4 linked regions of the Arabidopsis thaliana genome follow. The protein of the gene in region 2 interacts with the protein of the main gene of each other region in a pairwise test. Each region holds a gene or a part of one and is shown on either strand. Other genes may lie near its edges. The genes, in order: AT5G16590, CHX10, SPIK and CRK30.

What was found.
Region 1: the proteins of CHX10 (region 2) and AT5G16590 interact in a protein complementation assay, tested with the Arabidopsis thaliana proteins (one large-scale study listed by BioGRID).
Region 3: the proteins of CHX10 (region 2) and SPIK interact in a protein complementation assay, tested with the Arabidopsis thaliana proteins (one large-scale study listed by BioGRID).
Region 4: the proteins of CHX10 (region 2) and CRK30 interact in a protein complementation assay, tested with the Arabidopsis thaliana proteins (one large-scale study listed by BioGRID).

What each region holds. Positions count from the first base shown.
Region 1 is NC_003076.8:5,430,032-5,434,727, reverse strand, and holds AT5G16590 (Leucine-rich repeat protein kinase family protein), read right to left. Parts: upstream 3,145-4,696; 5' UTR 2,867-3,144; coding exon 1,582-2,866; intron 1,493-1,581; coding exon 1,175-1,492; intron 1,082-1,174; coding exon 807-1,081; 3' UTR 542-806; downstream 1-541. UniProt on the Arabidopsis thaliana protein: Might be involved in early recognition of growth promoting fungi. Appears to be specific for P.indica.
Region 2 is NC_003074.8:16,401,375-16,406,595, forward strand, and holds CHX10 (cation/H+ exchanger 10), read right to left. Parts: upstream 3,451-5,221; 5' UTR 3,299-3,450; coding exon 3,086-3,298; intron 2,905-3,085; coding exon 1,879-2,904; intron 1,797-1,878; coding exon 684-1,796; 3' UTR 517-683; downstream 1-516. UniProt on the Arabidopsis thaliana protein: May operate as a cation/H(+) antiporter.
Region 3 is NC_003071.7:10,892,258-10,899,176, forward strand, and holds SPIK (Shaker pollen inward K+ channel), read left to right. Parts: upstream 1-1,995; 5' UTR 1,996-2,345; coding exon 2,346-2,587; intron 2,588-2,667; coding exon 2,668-3,033; intron 3,034-3,113; coding exon 3,114-3,171; intron 3,172-3,268; coding exon 3,269-3,586; intron 3,587-3,683; coding exon 3,684-3,929; intron 3,930-4,014; coding exon 4,015-4,113; intron 4,114-4,190; coding exon 4,191-4,223; intron 4,224-4,345; coding exon 4,346-4,531; intron 4,532-4,619; coding exon 4,620-4,814; intron 4,815-4,909; coding exon 4,910-4,985; intron 4,986-5,081; coding exon 5,082-5,654; intron 5,655-5,837; coding exon 5,838-6,112; 3' UTR 6,113-6,415; downstream 6,416-6,919. Other genes in the region: AT2G25590 (Plant Tudor-like protein), read left to right, coding at 6-95, 908-959, 1,044-1,185, 1,302-1,515. UniProt on the Arabidopsis thaliana protein: Highly selective inward-rectifying potassium channel that could mediate potassium uptake in the pollen membrane. Plays an important role in pollen tube development.
Region 4 is NC_003075.7:6,962,635-6,967,617, forward strand, and holds CRK30 (cysteine-rich RLK (RECEPTOR-like protein kinase) 30), read left to right. Parts: upstream 1-1,833; coding exon 1,834-2,662; intron 2,663-2,747; coding exon 2,748-2,882; intron 2,883-2,985; coding exon 2,986-3,107; intron 3,108-3,203; coding exon 3,204-3,423; intron 3,424-3,492; coding exon 3,493-3,730; intron 3,731-3,826; coding exon 3,827-3,980; intron 3,981-4,054; coding exon 4,055-4,459; downstream 4,460-4,983.

The sequences.
Region 1 (4,696 bases), on a different chromosome or scaffold from region 2:
AATTCTTTCACACATTAAGTCCGTAAATGATTTTCCGAAACCCTCTGCATATGTCTTGATCAATACAATTTATAAAGATAGTATATCTTTCTTTCTTTTTTTATTCTTAAAGAGAGTCGCTTGAAATTTACTTTAACGATTAAAGGAAAAATGAAGAAACTTTTGTTTTGATGGCTTCACCAAATTATCTGAATTTGAATTTGAAAGGTGGGGACTAACTTGACAGATTCAACTTAGAAACTTTAAATAGACCCGTTACCTAAAATTATATTTACTCCATGGAGTTTGTAATAAGTATTTAGATACTTAGTCTTAGTCACTAATACAAATAAAACTTGAAATTGAGGAAAGACAGAAAATATGTGTCGTTGACATGCATTTTATGATTGGTCGGAGAGAAGAATCAGACACAATATATCAACAAAATTTGTTTGACAACTTTTTATAATTTACCAACATATAATAATCAGGCTCCTTCTTTTTTGTTTCTGCCGTTTTATTTGCTAGTTCGTTAGAAAGAAAGAGTCAATAGTGGATAAGTTTCATGAAATAAAGTTAAAGTTACTATATTCAAATTGATGGGCCGACCAATAGAAAAGGAGAGATATAATTTGTTTCACACTCAATCAATTTGTATATAAAAAATTTCACTAAAAAAATTAAGAAACACAAAAAAAAAAAAAAAAACTTCAACGTAGATCTCTCAACTGACTTAAAGACCAAACTATATAAAGAAATTCAAATTTAGACCAAACAATTTTGAAATGATCAATTTAGACCCCATATATTGAAAAAGAAAAATACAATCAATCGGACAAAGGACCTGGTGAAGCAGGTGAACGAGAAACCTCCTCGATGAGTCTTGTGACTTCAGGCATTGTAGGACGACTATCTGGATACTGAGTCGTACAACTTATACCGATGTTTAAAAGCCTGATCATGTTCTCATTGCTGTCCGATTGATACCTTGTGAGCTCTGGATCAAACACATCTGATGGTGATTGTTGTTCAGTGATCGATGAAACCCATCTCGGTAAATCTACTCCTTCTTCGTGTAACTGCTGATGCGTTGGAGATTTCCCTGCAAATCAATACAAAAACCAATATATGAATCAACATTTTGACCAAAAATACGGTTTTCAAGATCTCTCTGTTTTTGTGTGTGTTGTTGTACCTGTGAGTAATTCAAGAATGAGAACACCGAAGCTGTAAACATCAGCCTTTTGGGAGATTTTACGAGCATCGGTTACTTCAGGAGCTCGGTAACCATCAATGCGGTTAGGTGTAGAAGTAGGGCTGATCATAGGTGCAAGACAGTAGTCAGAGACCTTAGCTTCAAAGGATTCTGACAATAGAATGTTAGATGATTTAATGTTGCCATGAGATGTTGTCGCGTCACGCGAATGGAGGTAGCTAATTGCTCTTGCGGCTCCTAATGCTATATTGGCTCTCGTTTCCCAATTCAATGGACTTCTGCCACTTCCTTTGTTCCCTACGAATTCATTCCAAAAAATTGGTTTTAAAAAATCTGTAATCACTACTAAAGAATCAAACAATAAACAGAGTTATTTATTTTGTTACCGTGTAACAGCGCAGACAAGCTTCCTCTAGACATGTATTCGAAAACAACGAGCTTTTCGTCGCGGCTGAAGTAATATGCAATCAATGTCACAAGATTGGCATGGCTTATGGATCCAAGAACCTGCAATTTCTCTCTGAACTCTTTCTCAGGAACCACGACATCTCTCAATCGTTTCACAGCCACCACTAATCCGTGATCGAAACTGGCCTTGTACGAAGATCCGAACGTTCCTTTACCAAGTACTTCCGCAGAAGCTTTCAGCAATCCATCAAGATCAAACTCGCCGAAAGATTTCACGAAAAATGTCAGATCTTTACTCACTGCAGCAGGGTTCTTTGATACACCATTTTCAGATGCACCATTAGCCACCACCGCAGGAGGACCATTCGATTCCTTAGCCACGGCTGCTGATGAGGTCGGAACAGGAGCTGCTTCGATGCTTCTCGATTGGACGACTTGCTCTTTCTTCTTCTTTCTACAGAGACAGAACACGATCAAGAAAAGCACGAGAAGCAAGACGAAACAGCCGATCACTATTCCGACAATAGCTCCGGCAGATAACTTGTCGCTTTTCCCTTTTCCTCCAGGCGTCACAGTACCGTTTCCAGTGCCATTGACAGGGCAAGCATCTAACGGCTTCCCACAGAGCAAATTGCCTAAAAAGGCGGTTTTGGGCATACCCGACAACGGATCCGGAATCGACCCGTTTAACTGATTGGATGAGACATTAAACTGTTGAAGCTTAATCTTAATCTCCGGGATTGGACCGGTGAGTTGATTATCCTGCAAGTAAAGAGTAGCTAACCGGGTTGCAGAATTGACATTATCCGGGATCCGACCCAAGAAATTATTCTGGGCGAGATTGATCCGAATAATGTTTGGTAGAGTGAAGAGAAACGAAGGAATCTCGCCGGAAAATGCGTTTCCTTGAAGATACAAGTAACGGAGAAGAGTTAGGTTTGCGAAATCCGGCGGGAGAGGACCGTTAAGAGCATTGAATCGGAATGATAAAGTTTCGAGCTTTGTAAGGTTTCCGATGGCGATTGGTAATGGACCCGATAAACCCACACCGGGTAATCGGAGTGCTGTGACACGACCCGACTCACATTGGACTCCTCCCCAAGTACACGGTGGTGCTGTTAGATTCCACAGCAATGGACGCCCATGAACACCGTCACGAAGTGCGATTAGAGCTCGTCGATCAGCTTCTAGATCTGATGTCACGGAAACGAGACATATAAAGAAGAAGAAGACTGAGAGACCTAAATTGGTCTTGTTCTTCATCTTCTTCTTACCCAAAGCTTAATCCTTTACAACAGTGAACGCCTCTCTCTCTCTCTCTGACTCGGAGATTGGTTTTTCCGAGATTTCCGACTACGTGTAGAACAGTGTTTGGAAAGAGAAAATGTCGGAAGAAAATCTTCTCACAGAAATTTCAGCTCTCTCTATCTGTCTCGACGGCTATGGGGAGATGATGAAGGAGGAGAGAGAGAGAGGCTATTAATTGCAGACTGCAGTGAATGGAAAGAAAAAGTTAATTGTTCAATTTTTTACCTTTTTAGTTTTTACAGTGAGATACAGAATCTTTTATTAATTTATTTAAATATTCCGTGCGATTATTTTTACAGCAAGAAGAAATGAGTTTGCTGTATATTCTTACATCTTTTTATTATTGTGTAATTTAGCATTTTCAGTAACAAATCATATGATTTACATATTTAAATGCTTTTGTTTCCATTTATGAAGGAATCTGGAGAGATTTGTAAGAAGTGTTATAAACATTACATAAGTAGATAAAAGATAATAATAAATACTTAATTAAAAGATACTTTAATGTGAAAATTAAACAAATACTATCCGTTTTTTTATTTTTAATGAATAATTTAAATTGTTTAGTTATGGTTTTATTATGTACGATGGAAACATGCAACTCTTGGGAAAGTATGTTATATTATTGAACGTCTCCTAAAAATGTCTGACTTAATAATACTGAACCACTACTAATTTAAATTCCTTTCGGATATGTGGAACATATTTACGTGTTAACTTTTTTTACAATATGAAATTCTTAGCTTTGTGTCTATCTAAGTCATCGGCAGAAAAAAAATGTGTTTGTACATATATAGAATAGGATTTGAGTAGTTTCAAAATTTTACTTCCTCTAAAAGTAAGAATATATTCTGTATTAAAATGGAATAACTCATATCGAAAATTTTTGGGAAGAAAATATACAAATTAGATTACCTCATTAGTATTTTAGTACTGAAGACATGATATTAAAGTAAAACAATTAGGATTTTGATGAGACCAACGTTTTTATTTCGGCCCAAACTATAATTGATATTCAGTTAAGAGTACATTGTAGAAAGTAAGCCCATTATTATTATTGATTACGGCCCATAAAATAGGCTTATACAAGAATGGGTTCTTAAATCAAACTATATATTTGAAGCCCCTTTTATTTCATGGGACAACAATATCAGTCTACTCTACTACTACTAGCATTTTTCTTTATTTGACGAAAGAGTATAGTACTTAACTAGCATAAATTGACGTTACCAAGTTTTTAAATGGTTCTTCTTATGTCATGCAAAAAACAATTTCGTAATGTATGCTTTTTTCCCACTTTCCATTCATATAATGATAAAATTTTATGAATTCATATTTTCCGTGTGAGCATTGTTCTGTGATGTTACTTTGCGTTTGCGTATTACCAATCATATTACACAATATCCCGTCGGTCCAACTTGTTATTACAATTACAAAACATACAAGTTGGGACTATATGATAAGAAATTAAGAAGATTAGGACTCTCCCACCAATGAAAATAAAGAGCTTTCGAAATTTTACAACAAGAAAGGCAAAAATAGTGACATATATACAAAATAGCCCAGAGTCACGGGAACATAATGACCCACCAAACAATTGTAATAATTGGCTGTTATCACAAACTTAATATTGTAGTACCTATCAAAATTCTAATTGGGTGGTGCGAATACAATAATAGCTCACAGACAGTTATGATATTTGGTTTAGTTCAAATTTTTTTTCGTTAAAGTATTATAAGATTCAAAGCTTTTTAGTCCTACTATATTATTTGGGAAATACATTTT
Region 2 (5,221 bases):
TGTCTTTAATACTTCTTCCTTAAACTCGATTTGAGATATTATTAACCCTTAGAGAAAGCAGATATACATTAAGCTACATTTGGTTGTAATTTAATTTTGTTGATCATATCAAGACCACTGTGATATTAGAGGAGTGGAGAAAAGAGAAGAGTAAGGAAGAAACAAAGCAACCGAAGATTAAATTGGAAATGAACAGATAGATTTCCAAAGACTAACAAAAGATATAATATAAAACCCCAAATTCAGAAACTTTCTCCCAACTAGAACTGGTAATGTTTTTAATATTTTCAAAGGGTTTCTTCTTAGACAATGTTTCTTGCAGTTGAAGAAACATGTTTCTTTCTTGAAGATAAACATGGAGTCGCTTCGACTTTACAGACCAGTGTCAGCTTTGGGCAACCTAATGTTCTAAGAATACCAGAAGCTAGTGAAAGAGTGAAAGAGTGAAAGGACGGATTGAGAAACACAGAGTTGAGCTGGAGGAAGTATAACAATCTGAATCAAAGTTTATGGTTATTCCTTCTTATGGATTCTAAGTATGTTTAATTTGTATATAATGTAAAAAAATTTGTATGAATATATACGCATATTATATTTAAACAAATGAATGACTATTTATACATCTTAAAATTTTCTAAAAGTTTGCCCTAAATGAATACACACAGTCTTGCGGTCAAAACATGTCACGTTCGTTGTTGTTGTTGTTGAACTACTAAAACCGAAACCTTAGAGCTTAGATCTCTAGCCGCCAGCAAATCCCCGATGACACCTAACTCTGGTAGTTCGACCCATTCCATTAGTCCTGATAAGTCTTGTGATGTCATATCATGATCTCTCCCGACCACCATTAGATCGTACTCTTCTGCAAGCAATTGGACAGCTTTGACTACCTCAACACTACTAGTCACAATCCTCTCTATATAATCAATATCTTTGTTGTCTTCAGTACTCTTCAAATCCTTTAAGCCTTCGTTATCAAGAATATAATCCCAATCTGACTCTATTTCATGGTCGAAGACGAGTCGGATCACGGTTACACGGATCCTCGGGTTATTTTTCATCCTCTTCACCAATGATAGTGCTTCCCTATCGTCTTTGCCTCCAATGAAGAGCACACCAACATCAATGATGTACCTTTTTTTGCTCGTTACAATACTTTTTCGCGAGAATTGTCCACGGTCTACTAGTATGCCGATAGAACAAGGCGCACGATCGAGTAACGACTGGTTTAGATGTCTTATAGCAGTGTTGTCAGACTCGAATAACCCATCTACAGTCCATTTCCTCCCCGATGGGACGACAATCATCGATGTTGTTTTGTCAAGTGCAAGTGTACAAATGTCTTCGTGCATCAAGTTTTCATGCGAGAACGCAGTGAACGTTGTCACGGTTACAGACTCTAAGCTTTCTAACACGAATTGTCTAAAGGCAAGGTTTGCGGTATGGATGTATGAGTCTTTGTTAAGCCGTTTCAATTTCTTGTCGTGTGAGACTATGATAGGGTTTATCTGACCAACGAGCTTCACAAGGTGGAGAACTGTAACCGCGATAGGGAAGTCTAGGTTCGGTGAGGACAACAATTGTAGGAATGCTATGGTCTCTGAGACGTTTTCTGGTTTGTGCAAACAAGTTAGAATTCGAAGATCTGAGTTTCGTTCTAGATGCAATATGTCCCTTTTCTGGTAATTAACGTACTTTCTTCTTGGATCGTACATCCTCCTTAAGACAGTAGGGACAATCCCGGCATTTAGTAGCGAATATAAGATTAAGAACGAGTAAGTGGCTTGCGATATGTACTGCAAAACCAAACCATAAAAAAATGTTTAGATTAATGGCAAATGATACCAATAATCGACTATTTGCGAGTTAGGAGGTTACCGTGTCGTCTAATACAGCTTCATAGAGAACAAAATCAGCAAAACTTTTGTAGCTCAAGATGAAGGAAACAGCCAAGGATTCACTGAGAGGTAACTTGTAGTACAAGCAAGGTGCAAGGCATGCGACCAGTTTTATGACAAGTATAAGAAATGTTAGGAAGATGTTGAAGAAGATGTCATTGAACTGGCTAAGGATCCTTGCTCCATCACATCTCATCGCGCTGAATGTGATTGAGATTGGTAAGAACACGTTCATTGTGAGCCTCTCAAACTTAGCCTCTAGAGCCGATCCTAATGGTGGACCCTCTGGTATGATGATGCCAATCATTAATGGTCCTAAAATATATTTCATGTTGAAAAACACAAAATAAGCAGCGGAAGCCAATGCGGTAATAATCACGGCATGAATGTACATATCCTCCACTGGCTTGTCTTCCGGTGTGCGGTCTATGACCCATTGCACCATAGGCTTAAAAACAAGAAAGACGACGAGAAAAAAGATGATCACCGCGACAGTGTCACGATAGGCTGTTGCATGTGAAACATGAATGTAGGTCGCTTGTATAGAGGCAACTATCATGGAAAAAATCCCCAAGATGTCGTTGATGACACATGCAGACAATGCAAGGCGACCTAGCTCGGAGTTGATGATCTTGAGCTCTAGCAAGATATATGTAGTGGAAGGCAAAAGTATCGAAGATTGAGTTATGACAATCGCAGTGCGCTCACCTAGGGCTTTAGTTAGAGGCATGTAGTGAGGGTCGATGTTGTCAGAAAAAAAATTCTGGAAACCGAGACCAAACAGAGGAGCAAAGAAGGACACGATCCCGATCACAACGGGCAATTTTCCGCTATGGAACGCCACTCGCCTGCTGGTTCTAACAGTCATTAGAAACGTAAACATTAGTGTTCCAAACACCGAGATGCATCTTAACGCTGCGATTCCATCCAACGCAGGATCCACGGATAGTTTCCCTGAAGATTTCTCTAGTACATCAAAAAGCTGAGGCCCTAGAACTATTCCAGCCTGCACATAAATTTATATATATGATTTCAGTTTCTGAAAAATATCTTCAATAGCACGCATGCATGATCTTCTTTGTCCCTTAAACAATTTACGTGCTTGTCAAGTTACATCTACTTTTGTAGTTCTAATAATTGGAAATATCTTGTGTGCTTGCCAAGTTAGATATGGAAAACTTGCTTACAATCATATATGAAGCGATTTGGGAAATGCCGATGCATCTGAGGAACATATGAGACATGACAATGCAGAAGAATATCAGTATTATCTGAATCTCTAGGAGAGGCAGCGAGTAGCCGAAAACCACATCAGGCGATTTTAGGTTATCCCAAAATCCCTGGGAAGATATGTTGAAGAATGATATTCGACAATCCCCAATGTAAGTAGTCGTGTTCATGAATATAAGCCAATAACTTAGCAAAACTTGGGGATGAAAATGCTTTTTTTTTGTGTTATAAAGTTTAAGTCTCTGGAAAAGAAGAAAAAAAAGTGTTCATTCTTTGAATTTGGGTTTTGAAAAGAGTCTTGTTAGTTTTTTGTGTTGTTTTTGTCTGGTCTTTGGTAAATAGCTGTCATAATCTCTCTGGAACAAATGTAACTTTCCAATTTAGAAAAAAAAAATATATATATCCAGAGAGTAACTGTTTTTTTTTTCCATTTTGTTTGTTCAAAAACGTAAAATCTAGAACATGAAGAATTTGCTTTGCTAAATAAAATTGCAAGCTTGGAGGTTTGAGCCAAAATTAGCTCAAAGTTTCTGTTTGGGGACCCAAGTTTATAGTCTAGAAATATTTTCCAACTGCTTCAATCTAAGTTTACAATTTTTTTTCTTTCCTTCCCTTGATAATATTTTTTCCGATCTAATAATACTTATAAAATTAGTGACCACCCTAAAATCCGATATACAATTAATCCGATAGATCTATATATACATTTTTGCAACCATTTTGTGAAATAAATCCTGTAGTTCGGATTTATTTACAATGGTTGCCACTGGATTTTAATGTTTGTTTTTGATAATTAAAAAGAAAATCTTCGAATTAAATATTTGACATTTAACAATCTTCCCAAAATCTCTTCATATTAACTACATGATTATTTACTAAAATAATACTTCTAAAATATTTAATATCATTTAATTACTACAAAATTATCATTTTTGATATTGCTTTTCTCCATAACTATAACAATTCGATTATAATCATCAAAGCGCAGAGATATAATCTGATAGCATTTAATTACTACAAAATTACAAAATATTTAGACAATGATTCATAAACATATCATAAATAAGATCAACATTAATAAAATAAATGGTTTTTTTTACAGGACGGGTTTGGCAGGACGTTACTTAATAATATTTGTAAACTATAAAATAAAATTATTTTATAGATAGATATAATTTGTAAACTTTTATATATATACTAACTTTAAAAAATAAATTGTTCCCGTGGTATACCGCGGGTTAAAATCTAGTTTAGACGTACATACGCAAAAAAGTGAGGAAAGATTCAAACCATAATTAAAATGTTTAATATGGCTGGTGGTCAAAAGTTTATCTGAAATTTCTGGTGCTTATTACCTTTCATTACCTCAATTACTAAAAACATCTGAAATATGAAATAATTAAAATCAGTATTCAAGTTAAATTATATTACAAATATTAAACATACAAAAAAATGTTGTATTTTTTATTGTTTTAATGGTGAGAAATGGTAAAATTTTTGGAAAATGTTTTAACAATAAAATACACCAAAAATAATAATATATAATCGTTTGATTTGCTCAAAGGCTGATTTCAAATGAGAATCTTTCAAAATCTACCACTGAATAAATACAGATTAATTGGTGGACAAGATGTGAGATTCATGATAATAGAGCAAGATGATGAAATTGAGGACAAGATCTAGACGCAACAGAGAATTTCCAATCGAAGATAATATCTGGAGACAAAAATGCGGAATTATATAAGGGTTTGTGGATCTATGGTCGTTTTATCGAAGTTATCTTTCAAAATTTCTTTCAATCTAGATCTTGAAAAAGAGAAATTTTAATTTTTATGTGCCAAGTTCACATTTTTTCTTAACCATTAATCTGTATTTATCCACTTTTACTAATTCTTGCTATACACTTTTAATTCTACAATTTTTATACTTATTTTGTTTTTGGTGAATATTTTTATACTTATTATTTCAAAACTAAACGCAAATATATTTTATATTAAAAAAAATTTAAATTCGAGAAAGAACTCTCAGAAATGATCATGGTAATTTCTTCTCCAAACGCCTTAATTTGTTTAAGAAACCTCCCTCAACTTATA
Region 3 (6,919 bases), on a different chromosome or scaffold from region 2:
TCTAGATGGTGCCGACTCTTGTAGTAGTGATGCTGAATCTTCAAAAGAAGCATCTGGATGCAGAGATGAAGCTAGGCGAAAACATTCATTATCAGGTAATGGATCAGTGGTGAGATCATGTAGGCCTGAACTTTACACTTACCGTAGTACACTGACGAAGTTATTTGCTTCTGGCTCCCTAAGTTGGGATCAGGAAGCATCACTAACTGATCTCCGACTTTCTCTTAATATATCAAATGATGAACATTTGATGGAGCTAAGAAATCTCAAGTCTGCCGGTACCCACAGTTAATTTTGTTAGTATCTATTATATCTTTTTGATCCTTGACAGTCTTATCTTCAGGTGTTGGCCATACTTCCCTGCAATGTGGAATCAACTGTTGTATATTGTTCTGTTACCGGAGGATTGTTAAAATGATTGTATAGACAGCAGAAGGGAAATAACTCTGACTGAAAATTTCAAATCCTCATTGTGATGTTTTCTTCTTATAGTCTAATTTTCTTTGTTGTACTTTCCGGATGATTAAACTTAAACAAAAGTTACAGTATCTGTGTTCTAAGATGAGTCATGTCTTTTCTTCATATATATACTTTAGTTTATTGTGTTTAAGCTTCTGGATAAGTCGAGTCATTTGTCTTCTCCTCATCAGTGATGGATTATTGAACTTACCTTACATTTTTCAGGAAAACTGTAGCCATGTTGGGTGACTGCAGATCTTGCTTGCTTCTAGAGATCTTACTCTGATGCATGAGGTTAACTGAATGGTGCAAAACACAATGCCCCTTCTTCCTCAAAATTCATAATTTAAATTGTGCTGTGTTTTCTTTTTGGCTGTACATAACTGATCTGTTTCAGGTGTTCTTGGATATATATACCCTCTTTACACAGGCTGTGAACTGTTCCTAGCCGAAGGATAATCATTTACAGTCTGCAGGTTGGATAAGTTTGCCGACGATTGGTAAGTATTAGGTTGAAAGTTCTTTATGAACTGTGTCTATCTGAGACAGTATTGAGGTTGTGTGGAATACTTTTACTCTTTCAGCAAATGTGACCAGTAGATTGTGGAACTGTCCATGCTTGTTTGTTGGTGGTATATGTACAGTTGGCCTGGTCATCAAAATCTACAGAAAAGTACTCAATTTTTATGAAATCAAGGCTATGACATTTCAAGCTGAATTACCGAGGTGCGGGGATTCAAACGTTAGCATAAATATTATGATCGGTGTGTATAGACCTCTGCATAAATCAAACGTGTCTAGCTGCTCGCTTGTCAAATCCAACTTTTTCCCTATGTCTCAAGCTTAAAGAAATTGAAAAGACTCAGAGAGGAAGAAGAAGCCTTGCGAATTGCGATGTTCTTATGCCATCACTATCGGTTTTATATTCGCTTATACTCTACACTAAGAAAAATAATCGAATTGAATATTTCTGATTCTTTAGAACTCATGTTAATTCAAAATTTTATGGTTGTTACAAAACTTATGAACAACATTATGATCTGCATTAACTTATAATGTTTTCAATGTGTTCTATGTAAGATTGACATTATTTGGAACCACCTGTTTTACTTATATTATTTTATTCTTGACTTGAAGTTGATTTGTGGCTTCTACATGTCACTAGCTTGAGTTTCACCAGAACTTCATAAAATCAAATTCCTTTGCAACTTAAAAGCATCAGAGAAACCAAACAGAAAAGCAGTAGCAGAAAAAGTTACTTGGGTTGCGTTATTGATTTTATTCAAAGCCAACAGACGCAAACATGTAACTAACACAGTTACCAAAACTGTCACAATTAAGCTTTCCAAGTACCAGAGTAGATTGATTCCAGGAAATGATTATCTAAATACCAATTTGCGCATAAACCAACCTCCTCCTTCTTTCTCGATTTACCAAGCGTTTTTGGATTGTAGTCCTCCTATTTGAATTTTGCCAATTATTGAACAACAGAAACTTGTATGATGTTTTTAAGTATTGGTAATATTAGTATGTTTGGGGGACAAACAAAAGCCTAATTAACCAAAAAACTATAGTTAATATTCAGTTCCCAGAGCAAAACGGAAAAAAACATGCCAATTTGTTAATTTTGAAAGTTTCTATGAGCACTAAAAGACCAATGAACCGAAATATACTTGCTATTTTTGTGGCTACAAAAGCAGAAAAAGGAGGGAAAATAGTTACCTGTTGGGGCCCACAACAAAAAAGAAAGAAACAAACGTAACAGAAAAAAGGATATAAAAGGAAATTCGAAACCGGCGAATTCGGAGAAAAAAAAAAAAAAACCTTGCGTGTTTATCCGCAAGGGATTTTGATTTTGGAAAAAGAAAGAGAGAGGGATCTGAAGCATGGAGAAGAAGAAGGTATGGTTTTGGGGTGTGAAAGACGACGGCGAAGGAGGCGGAGGCAGAGGAGGAGGAAGAACCAAAGATGCGGAGGATGATGTTGCTGACCATTTATCTCGCGACGGGACGATGAGTCAGTATAGCCTTAGCAAAGGCCTTCTTCCTTCTCTTGGAGCCAACAATCGTTCCTCTCGTGACGTCATTCTCCCTCGCTTCATCGTCTCTCCTTTTGATCCTCGTTACAGGTCCGTTTTTTCAAATTTTGACTCTGTTTTAATCTAATCGCTAAATTAGGGTTTAGCTGAGGTAAAACATTATTTTTCAGAGCGTGGGAGACGTTTTTGGTGTTTTTGGTGCTCTACACAGCTTGGGCATCACCTTTTGAATTTGGGTTTCTGCAAAAGCCAAGACCACCTCTCAGTATTCTCGATAACATTGTCAACGGGTTTTTCGCTGTTGATATAGTCTTGACATTCTTTGTTGCCTTCTTGGACAAGGTAACTTATCTTCTTGTCGATGATCCAAAGAGAATAGCTTGGAGATATGCGTCGACTTGGCTGATTTTCGACGTGGTTTCCACATTTCCTTACGAAATTTTTGGGAGCTTGCTTCATGAGAGTATTCAGGGATATGGTATTTTCAGTATGCTACGTTTATGGCGTCTTCGTAGGGTCAGTAATTGTTTTGCCAGGTGAGTTCTTTGGCCGGTTTATCGTTCCAGCCAAAACGTTTAAATTCCAGCTGAGTATAATATTGATGTCTTCTTTTCAGGTTAGAGAAAGACAGGAAATACAGTTACTTTTGGGTTCGCTGCTCGAAGCTTCTCCTTGTAAGTAGCTATTGTCTACTTGTTTTTTACACTCTTTTTGGTTTCAAATGAACAGTTTTTTAGCTGTGAATTTACAGTATTTGATTTGGTAATGCAGGTTACTCTTTTTGTGATTCATTGTGGTGCTTGTTTCCTCTATTCCATTGCTGCACATTATCCAGATCCATCCAAGACGTTTATGGCATTAACCGATGAAAATTGGAAAGAGTCTCCTATTGCAGTGCGGTATAACACGGCAATGTATTGGTCCATAACTACTTTCTCCACAACTGGTTATGGTGATATACATGGTGTTAACTCAAGAGAGATGACTTTCATTCTTTTCTACATGGTTTTTAATCTTGGACTGTCAGCATATATAATTGGTAATATGACCAACTTGGTGGTTCATGTGACCGGCCGCACCAGAAAATTTGTAAGTTCTATGTACCGGTACTGTTAACTGCACTTCTCTGAAAATTAGTCTGGTCTCAGTGAAGTTTCATGAGTCTTAAGCATTTGCATTATTTTAGAGAGATACCATCCAAGCCGCATCAGGGTTTGGTCAGAGGAACAATCTGCCAGTGCGGTTACAAGATCAGATGGTTGCTCATTTGTGTTTGAGGTACAGAACTGATTCAGAAGGCTTACAGCAGCAAGAAATAATCGATTCTCTTCCCAAAGCTATTCGGTCCAGCATATCACATTATCTGTTCTATGAAGTTGTTGACAAAATTTACTTGTTCCATGGAATATCCAATGATCTTCTTTTCCAGTTGGTATGTTTCCCATAACGCAAGAAGTCCTGCATGCTAAAAGTGGTCACTTTATTCACATTAAGTCTTAACTTACGGTGTCCTGTAGGTCACGGAAATGAAAGCAGAGTATTTTCCTCCCAAAGAAGATGTGATTTTGCAAAATGAAGCCCCAACAGATTTCTACATATTGGTGACCGGAGCTGTTGTAAGTGTTTTTCGTACATTCCTGACACATTCCTTTATCATCATGTATTATTCCTGACACATTCCTATGTCATTCAGGACATAATTGCACGTGTAAATGGAGTGGAGCAGGCAAGTCTAGCTTTTATTATACCGTTTCTTTTTAAGATATGATTGTGTTCTTCTTTAACTTTGTTGCAATTGGAGAACCAAAACATATTTGATAATGTTTTTGTGTATGTGTTTCTTTACAGGTAGTTAGTGAAGCACAGAGAGGACATGTTTTTGGTGAAGTTGGGGTACTATGTTACAGACCGCAGCTGTTTACTGTTCGTACCAAGCGATTGAGTCAGTTGCTTCGTCTGAACCGTACAGTACTCTTAAATCTTGTTCAGGCAAATGTAGGAGATGGAGCAATAATCATGAATAATCTTCTTCAGGTTTGTAATAACTCTGAATAGTACAGTTTGTTTCAACCTGTTGACACACAGGACCAGTTCCATAACAGATATGTTGTGGTTCATGCAGCATTTAAAAGACTCAGAAGATCCAGTGATGAAAGGCGTTTTGGCTGATACAGAACACATGTTGGCTCAAGGGAAAATGGATTTACCTCTCAGCTTGTGCTTTGCTGCAGCCAGAGGAGATGATTTATTGCTGCATCAGTTACTAAGACGAGGCTCAAGCCCTAATGAAATGGATAAGGACGGGCGAACTGCGCTGGTAAGCCCGGATTTCCTTTGTATATACCATCATCCTCCTTTTAATGCCTAAACCAAATTTGCTCACTCTCTATGTTTCTTCTTTGAATATCTCAGCATATAGCAGCATCAAAGGGAAGCCATTATTGCGTCGTTTTACTTCTCGAACATGGAGCAGATCCTAACATTAGAGGTAAGTAGTAAAAAATAATGTTTCACTAGGTCAATTAGCTTAGGATGATAGGATCATGTAGTACTAAATTATCGGTGGCTCGTACATTGTTTACAGATTCCGAAGGCAATGTACCCTTGTGGGAAGCAATCATAGGAAGACATAGAGAAATTGCTAAACTCCTTGCAGAGAATGGAGCAAAGCTAAGCTTAGACTCAGTGAGCTATTTCTCTGGCTTAGCCGTGGAGAAAAACTGCTTAGACGCACTCAAAGACATCATCAAATATGGCGGCGACGTCACACTCCCTGATGGAAACGGAACCACAGCTTTACACAGAGCAGTGTCAGAAGGACACTTGGAGATTGTGAAGTTCTTACTAGACCAAGGTGCTGACTTGGACTGGCCGGATTCTTACGGATGGACTCCTCGTGGTCTTGCCGATCATCAAGGGAATGAAGAAATCAAAACCTTGTTTCATAATCACAGGCCTGTGGAGAAAAAACCGAAACCTATCCCTGGAATACCTCAGAGTCCTGTGACAGGGAAGCCATTAATGAAGTATAGCAGTGAGCCTACAATGCATTCAGGAGAACTCGTCTTAGACGGGGGTCAGGTTGTTGTTTCTCAGAAACGGAAACTCAATAACTTCAGAAACTCGCTCTTCGGAATCATTTCAGCTGCAAATAGCGGTAAAACCACCTCACCTCTCCATCTGCTCTCTAGATACTCGTTGCTTTCTTGTCACGTAACCATAATTTTCAGAACTTTTCACATCACAATAGTCATTCTTATATACAATTCACAACGTTCATTACATTGTTCTGTTCCTTACAAATTTACAAATTTGGTTTTCATTTCTGGTTTTTTTCCAGCTGATGATGGAGGAGAAGTTCCAAGAAGTCCAGCGGTTCCTGGAGGAGGAGGTAGTATGATTTATCCGGAGAGAGTGACGATAAGTTCGCCGGAAAACGGTGAAACTGGTGGAAAAGTTGTTTTGTTACCAAATTCTATGGAAGAGCTATTGAAAATTGGTGAAAATAAGATGGGATTCGTCCCAACTAAAGTACTTACGAGAGAAGGAGCTGAAATTGACGACATCACTCTTATCAGAGATGGCGATTTTCTCCTTCTATCAAGGGATCCTTGATTCACACGCAACTCTCTTTCGATTTTGAGTAATGAAAACTATTTGTCTTAACGCAAACTCGCAAACCACCACAGTCAAGCTTTATGGTGGTGATATGATGCTAATATTAGGGGAAACCGTAAGCCCCAATCAACTCCGGGATTGAAATATCTTTTAGGTTTTTTTTTTTTGCTTTTGTGTATATATTCACTGCTTACTATTTTTCACATGTATATATATATATATCCTGTTGACTATTTTCTGTTAAAAGAACTCTCTAACAACCTCATGATATTAACATCGAAATCTACAAGAAGTATGGAAACAATCTTGTTTTTTTCAGAAAGCATACAAGGATAAAGGTCCTTTCTTAAACGTCTAGACAATCTTCTTCTCTAAGTCTCTAAGAAGAAGCAAGTGTTAAAATTTATAACTTTTGTGCGAGGTCGAGATTTGAGAGTAACTCCTCACTCATCTTTTCCAATCAAGCTTAAATCCTCTCTAGGTGACTTATCCTATTTCTGAGATGAATTATCATCTCATCTTTCATTTTTGTTTAGATCCATGATGGTAAAGTGATATTGATGGGACTTGGGAGCCAAAGCATTACCGAAAATGAGCACAATGATTGAGATAGAGTTAGAGACAACACACACTATAATATTATTATTATTTCATGCTTCAAATGCAAGAAGGTAATATTTGAATCAGACTCTAGAGAGCTTAATCTGCTCCCATCTCTCTGACCAATACGAAACATCCGCAATCTGCTCAATCAACCTAAAGAGGTGAAGTTGTATTTTATGTCTAGTTGAATTAAAACCCTTG
Region 4 (4,983 bases), on a different chromosome or scaffold from region 2:
GAAAGTTTAAAGTTTGTGTTTGTGTTTGTGTTTGTGTATGTTTGCCCTTTGATTATGAACGGTGAAATCTAGACTAATTTTGACAGTATGTACAAGATTAATCTAGATTATTGCCTGCATAGGCTGCATTAAAAAAATTGGTGTGTTTAATTGAACGACGCCGTGCTAAAATATCGAACGGCGAGATTTATAGCTTCAGTTTTTTTATTTGAAACACTGTCGTTTTGCATAAATAAAACGACAGCGTTTAGGTCGATAAATGACTGCGTATTGGTAAGTTGAGACGACAACGTTTAAAGCCGGCGTTTTTAAATTATAAACGGCAGAGTTTTGGTTAAGGGAACGACGGCGACGATGAATATGGTGTTTCCGAAGTAGTTTCAGGCGATGATGGTGAATAATATTACGAAACGACAGTGTTTAGATAGATTGGCGTTTGGATTTGCATTACTCGAAAACATTGTTGAAGGCGATGGTGTTTCCGACGTTGCGCGATACCCATGTCTCTTGAACTTTTCGGGTATGGCCATGTCTGGGAATCTCACAGATGAAGTTTCTAGTGAGGAAAGAAGTCAGAGCAAATGATATAACTTGTCATAAAGAAGAACAAAAGGGTTTTCAGATTGGTGGGATTAAGCCAAAGGGTTTTGCTCATGGAAGTGTTTGAGAAAGACTGCTTCTTGTGAAGATGCTTCTTGCGACATAGCTAATGAGGGTGAGGTTTCTTTGGATCTGATATTGATTCGGAGTATCTGGTTTTAGAAATGTTTGTGATAGAGACTAAAGGAGCCATTGTTGGCCAAATTAAGAATTGAATCGTATATAGAAGACATGAGACATGACTTATATAAAGAGTGTTTCAGTTTCCGAATCATCTTCTGCTTCAAAGTAAACTGTTATTAATCACTTTGAGTAGGTGGCTCTTTTTCTTTTCTCTTCAGGTTAAGATTGATGTCTTTTGTGTTTTGTGTTGTTTCTTTCTGATTTTTGGAATTCTTTTGGTCAGCTGCACTGTTTAATCTGAAGCAAGCAACCACTCGCTTTCTGTCAATTCGGTGGAAGTGTATGCTGAAACTTCCGGGAAGACTTGAAGTTGCAGAGACATTTTAAAGCAGTCAATGTATCTAACAGCTGTTCTCCGCTTCTCAAATCACTACTTTGCTCGGTAAGGCCGATATACCAAACAAAAACACAAATGTTCTTCTGTTTTGGCCTTTGATGATGAAACATTATGTTATTAGATTACTTGGATGCTACGGTTCTGTACTTCTGTTCATGTTTACTAGAACCTCTCTAGTTATCCGTGTTGAGTCGGTATATTGTGCTATAGTTAATGCGTTTCTTTCTGGTTCAAGCGAGCATGTTTTGGACCAAAAACCTTTTGGTAAAAAGAAACTTTGCAAAGTGCAATGAAGTTTGCATTTTGTTTGTTTTCTATAATTTACAAAATAACTCAAGAAAATGTAGTCCTCAGATTTATCACAGTGATCATCCATTTCAATCAATTGCTTCTTCAAGTACTCAGAGAGTCGCGTTGATTTAGAAAATGTTATTCATGATACTCCAAAAAGCTATTGATTGTCCTGCAACAACATGTTCAGAGTCTTGTTATGGCTTGAAGTAGTAGTTGAGAGTCACAGTGACTTGTTGGAATAACTCTGAGTGGTCCAGTTCATAATTTCTTTCTAACAAGTTGCCATTGTTTTATTTATATTCTCTATCCATATAATAAAATAATGTTTACAACTTGCTCTTATGAAAGGCATGGTTGTGTAAGTTAGTCTATATTCAGCTTGAGACACTAAAGAAACTCATCTATTCCTTTTTTGGAAAATGCGTCAAAATAATCTCTTCTCATTGATCTTCTGGCTTGTCCCTGTGAGCTTAATTATTGTTGTCTCTGCACAGTTATGCTCGGAGAAGTTTGGAACTTTTACACCAGGTGGTACATTTGACAAGAACCGCCGAATCATTCTCTCATCTCTTCCATCTGAAGTCACAGCTCAAGATGGCTTCTACAACGCTTCGATTGGAACAGATCCTGACCAACTCTACGCAATGGGGATGTGCATCCCAGGTGCTAAACAAAAGCTTTGTAGGGATTGTATCATGGACGTCACAAGACAGTTAATACAGACATGTCCCAACCAGACAGCAGCAATTCACTGGTCAGGTGGAGGGAAAACTGTATGTATGGCACGTTACTATAACCAGCCGTCTTCTAGACCATTGGATTTGGAATCAGTTTCTATTGGTTATAACGTTGGAAATCTCAGCACAAACTTAACAGATTTTGATAGATTATGGGAGCGATTGATAGCTCATATGGTGACTAAAGCTTCATCAGCATCAATAAAATATTTATCATTTGATAACAGTAGATTCTATGCAGCTGATGAAACAAACTTGACAAATTCTCAAATGGTCTACGCTTTGATGCAATGCACGCCAGACGTCTCTCCTTCCAACTGTAACACTTGTTTAAAACAAAGTGTTGATGACTATGTTGGTTGTTGTCATGGGAAGCAAGGCGGCTATGTGTATCGGCCTAGTTGCATTTTCCGGTGGGATCTATACCCTTTCAATGGCGCCTTTGATCTTCTTACGCTAGCGCCTCCACCCTCATCTCAGCTGCAATCCCCACCTCCAGTGACCAACAAAGGTATGTGATTTACTTAAATAAATGATAGAAATAACCCTTCTTGTATTCAACTCTAAGAAGAGCTAGGTGATTTGGTCTTGCACAGATGAAAAAACGATTCATACAGGAACTATCATTGGGATTGTCATTGTCGTTGCAATGGTCATAATCATGGCTCTGCTTGCTCTAGGGGTTTCTGTTTGCAGGAGTAGAAAAAAATATCAAGCTTTTGCCTCAGAAAGTGAGTTCCTCTTGTTTTCTTTCTTATCAGCTGGTCTTGCTGCTAATTTACGAAAGAATTTCACCGACCTGACCATAAAACCACCTACATTTTCATTGTGCAGCTGCCGATGATATTACAACAGTTGGATATCTCCAGTTTGATATTAAAGACATTGAAGCTGCAACAAGTAACTTTTTGGCGAGTAACAAGATTGGTCAAGGTGGTTTCGGCGAAGTTTACAAGGCATTTTCTCCCCAACTACTCTTAAGTTGTATTTGTGTTATGTTTGAAGATATTGAGATAGTGGGATGATTAGTTAGATTCAGTTGTAATATGCAGGGTACGTTATCAAATGGAACTGAAGTTGCAGTCAAGAGGCTGTCAAGAACTTCAGATCAAGGTGAATTGGAGTTCAAGAACGAGGTGCTTCTTGTAGCAAAACTTCAGCACCGGAATCTCGTTAGGCTTCTCGGTTTTGCTCTGCAAGGAGAAGAAAAGATACTCGTCTTTGAGTTTGTTCCCAACAAGAGCCTCGATTATTTCCTCTTCGGTAGTACTAGTAGTCTAATTTTCCTCTTGATCCAATATTCTTGAAATCTTAAGCTTGGATTTGCAAATGGATGTGCAGACCCAACAAAAAAGGGTCAGCTGGACTGGACAAGACGGTACAACATCATTGGAGGGATTACACGAGGGCTTCTCTATCTTCATCAAGACTCTAGGCTCACCATCATACACCGTGACATCAAAGCGAGTAACATTCTTTTAGATGCTGATATGAACCCGAAAATAGCGGATTTCGGGATGGCTAGGAATTTCAGAGATCATCAAACTGAAGACAGTACAGGAAGAGTCGTTGGAACCTTGTTAGTATTCTCCTTATTATTTACAATGGGCACAATTCTCTGATGAACGGTTTTTGTTACTGACTAACGTAAACATTGTCATGTATATATTTGCAGCGGTTACATGCCTCCAGAATATGTTGCGCATGGCCAATTCTCTACCAAATCCGATGTCTATAGCTTCGGAGTATTGATTCTAGAGATTGTTAGTGGCAGGAAGAATAGCAGCTTCTATCAGATGGATGGTTCTGTTTGCAACTTGGTCACATATGTGAGCTGAAATCTAAAATGCTTTTTTTACTTTCTAACTGTGATCATCGATTCTGAATACGAGTTTGTTTGCAGGTTTGGAGACTTTGGAACACTGATTCATCTTTAGAGCTCGTAGATCCGGCGATTAGCGGAAGCTATGAGAAAGATGAAGTCACTAGATGCATCCATATCGGACTTTTATGCGTTCAAGAAAATCCTGTGAATCGACCAGCATTGTCTACAATATTCCAAATGCTCACTAATAGCTCCATTACTCTAAATGTCCCTCAACCACCTGGATTTTTCTTCAGGAACAGACCTGAGTCAGACACATTACGCCGTGGATTGGAGCCAGACCAATATAACAATGAATCTGTTACTTGTTCTATCGACAATGCAACAATCACTACACTCCTCGGTAAAACTCTTGCTTCTGCACTCTGTTGTATTACCTCAACTCTATTTTCAAAGTCAATGTATAGAAACACTGAGGATTGAATTATTTTTGAATATTAAAAGTTATCTCATTTTGATTCTGGTTTATGTATTCACGTTCATTTTTTGTTAAGAATAAATGCTTGGCTCACCTGCCCAATAACATCTTTTTTTGACCAAATCAAGGTTCTCAAAATAGTACGGTGAATGAAATCAAACTAGGCTATCCACTGTTTTATCCTCACATGTTTCTGCTTTGTGTCTTCCTTCACAAAGATGCAGGGACTCAGTATTTTAGACCCAACGGTACTCATTCCTTAATGGAGACTAAGAGATTTTTAAAACAATAGGAACCGACGACTTAAATACTTGTGTTTGGTCATTGCTTGTTGCATTGTGTTTTGGAGTAAGTTAGAACGTTTTGGTGTCAAATAGGGCCTAGAAGAGCTACAGATCAAGAATTGGTCTACGTTCACTTTCATCATATTTACCTAACGTGTTTATAAAGTATTAAATTATCCAAAACGTTGACCTAGGTGACTTGTGCATTAATGCACGTATCCACTACTTGACGAAAATTCTACACG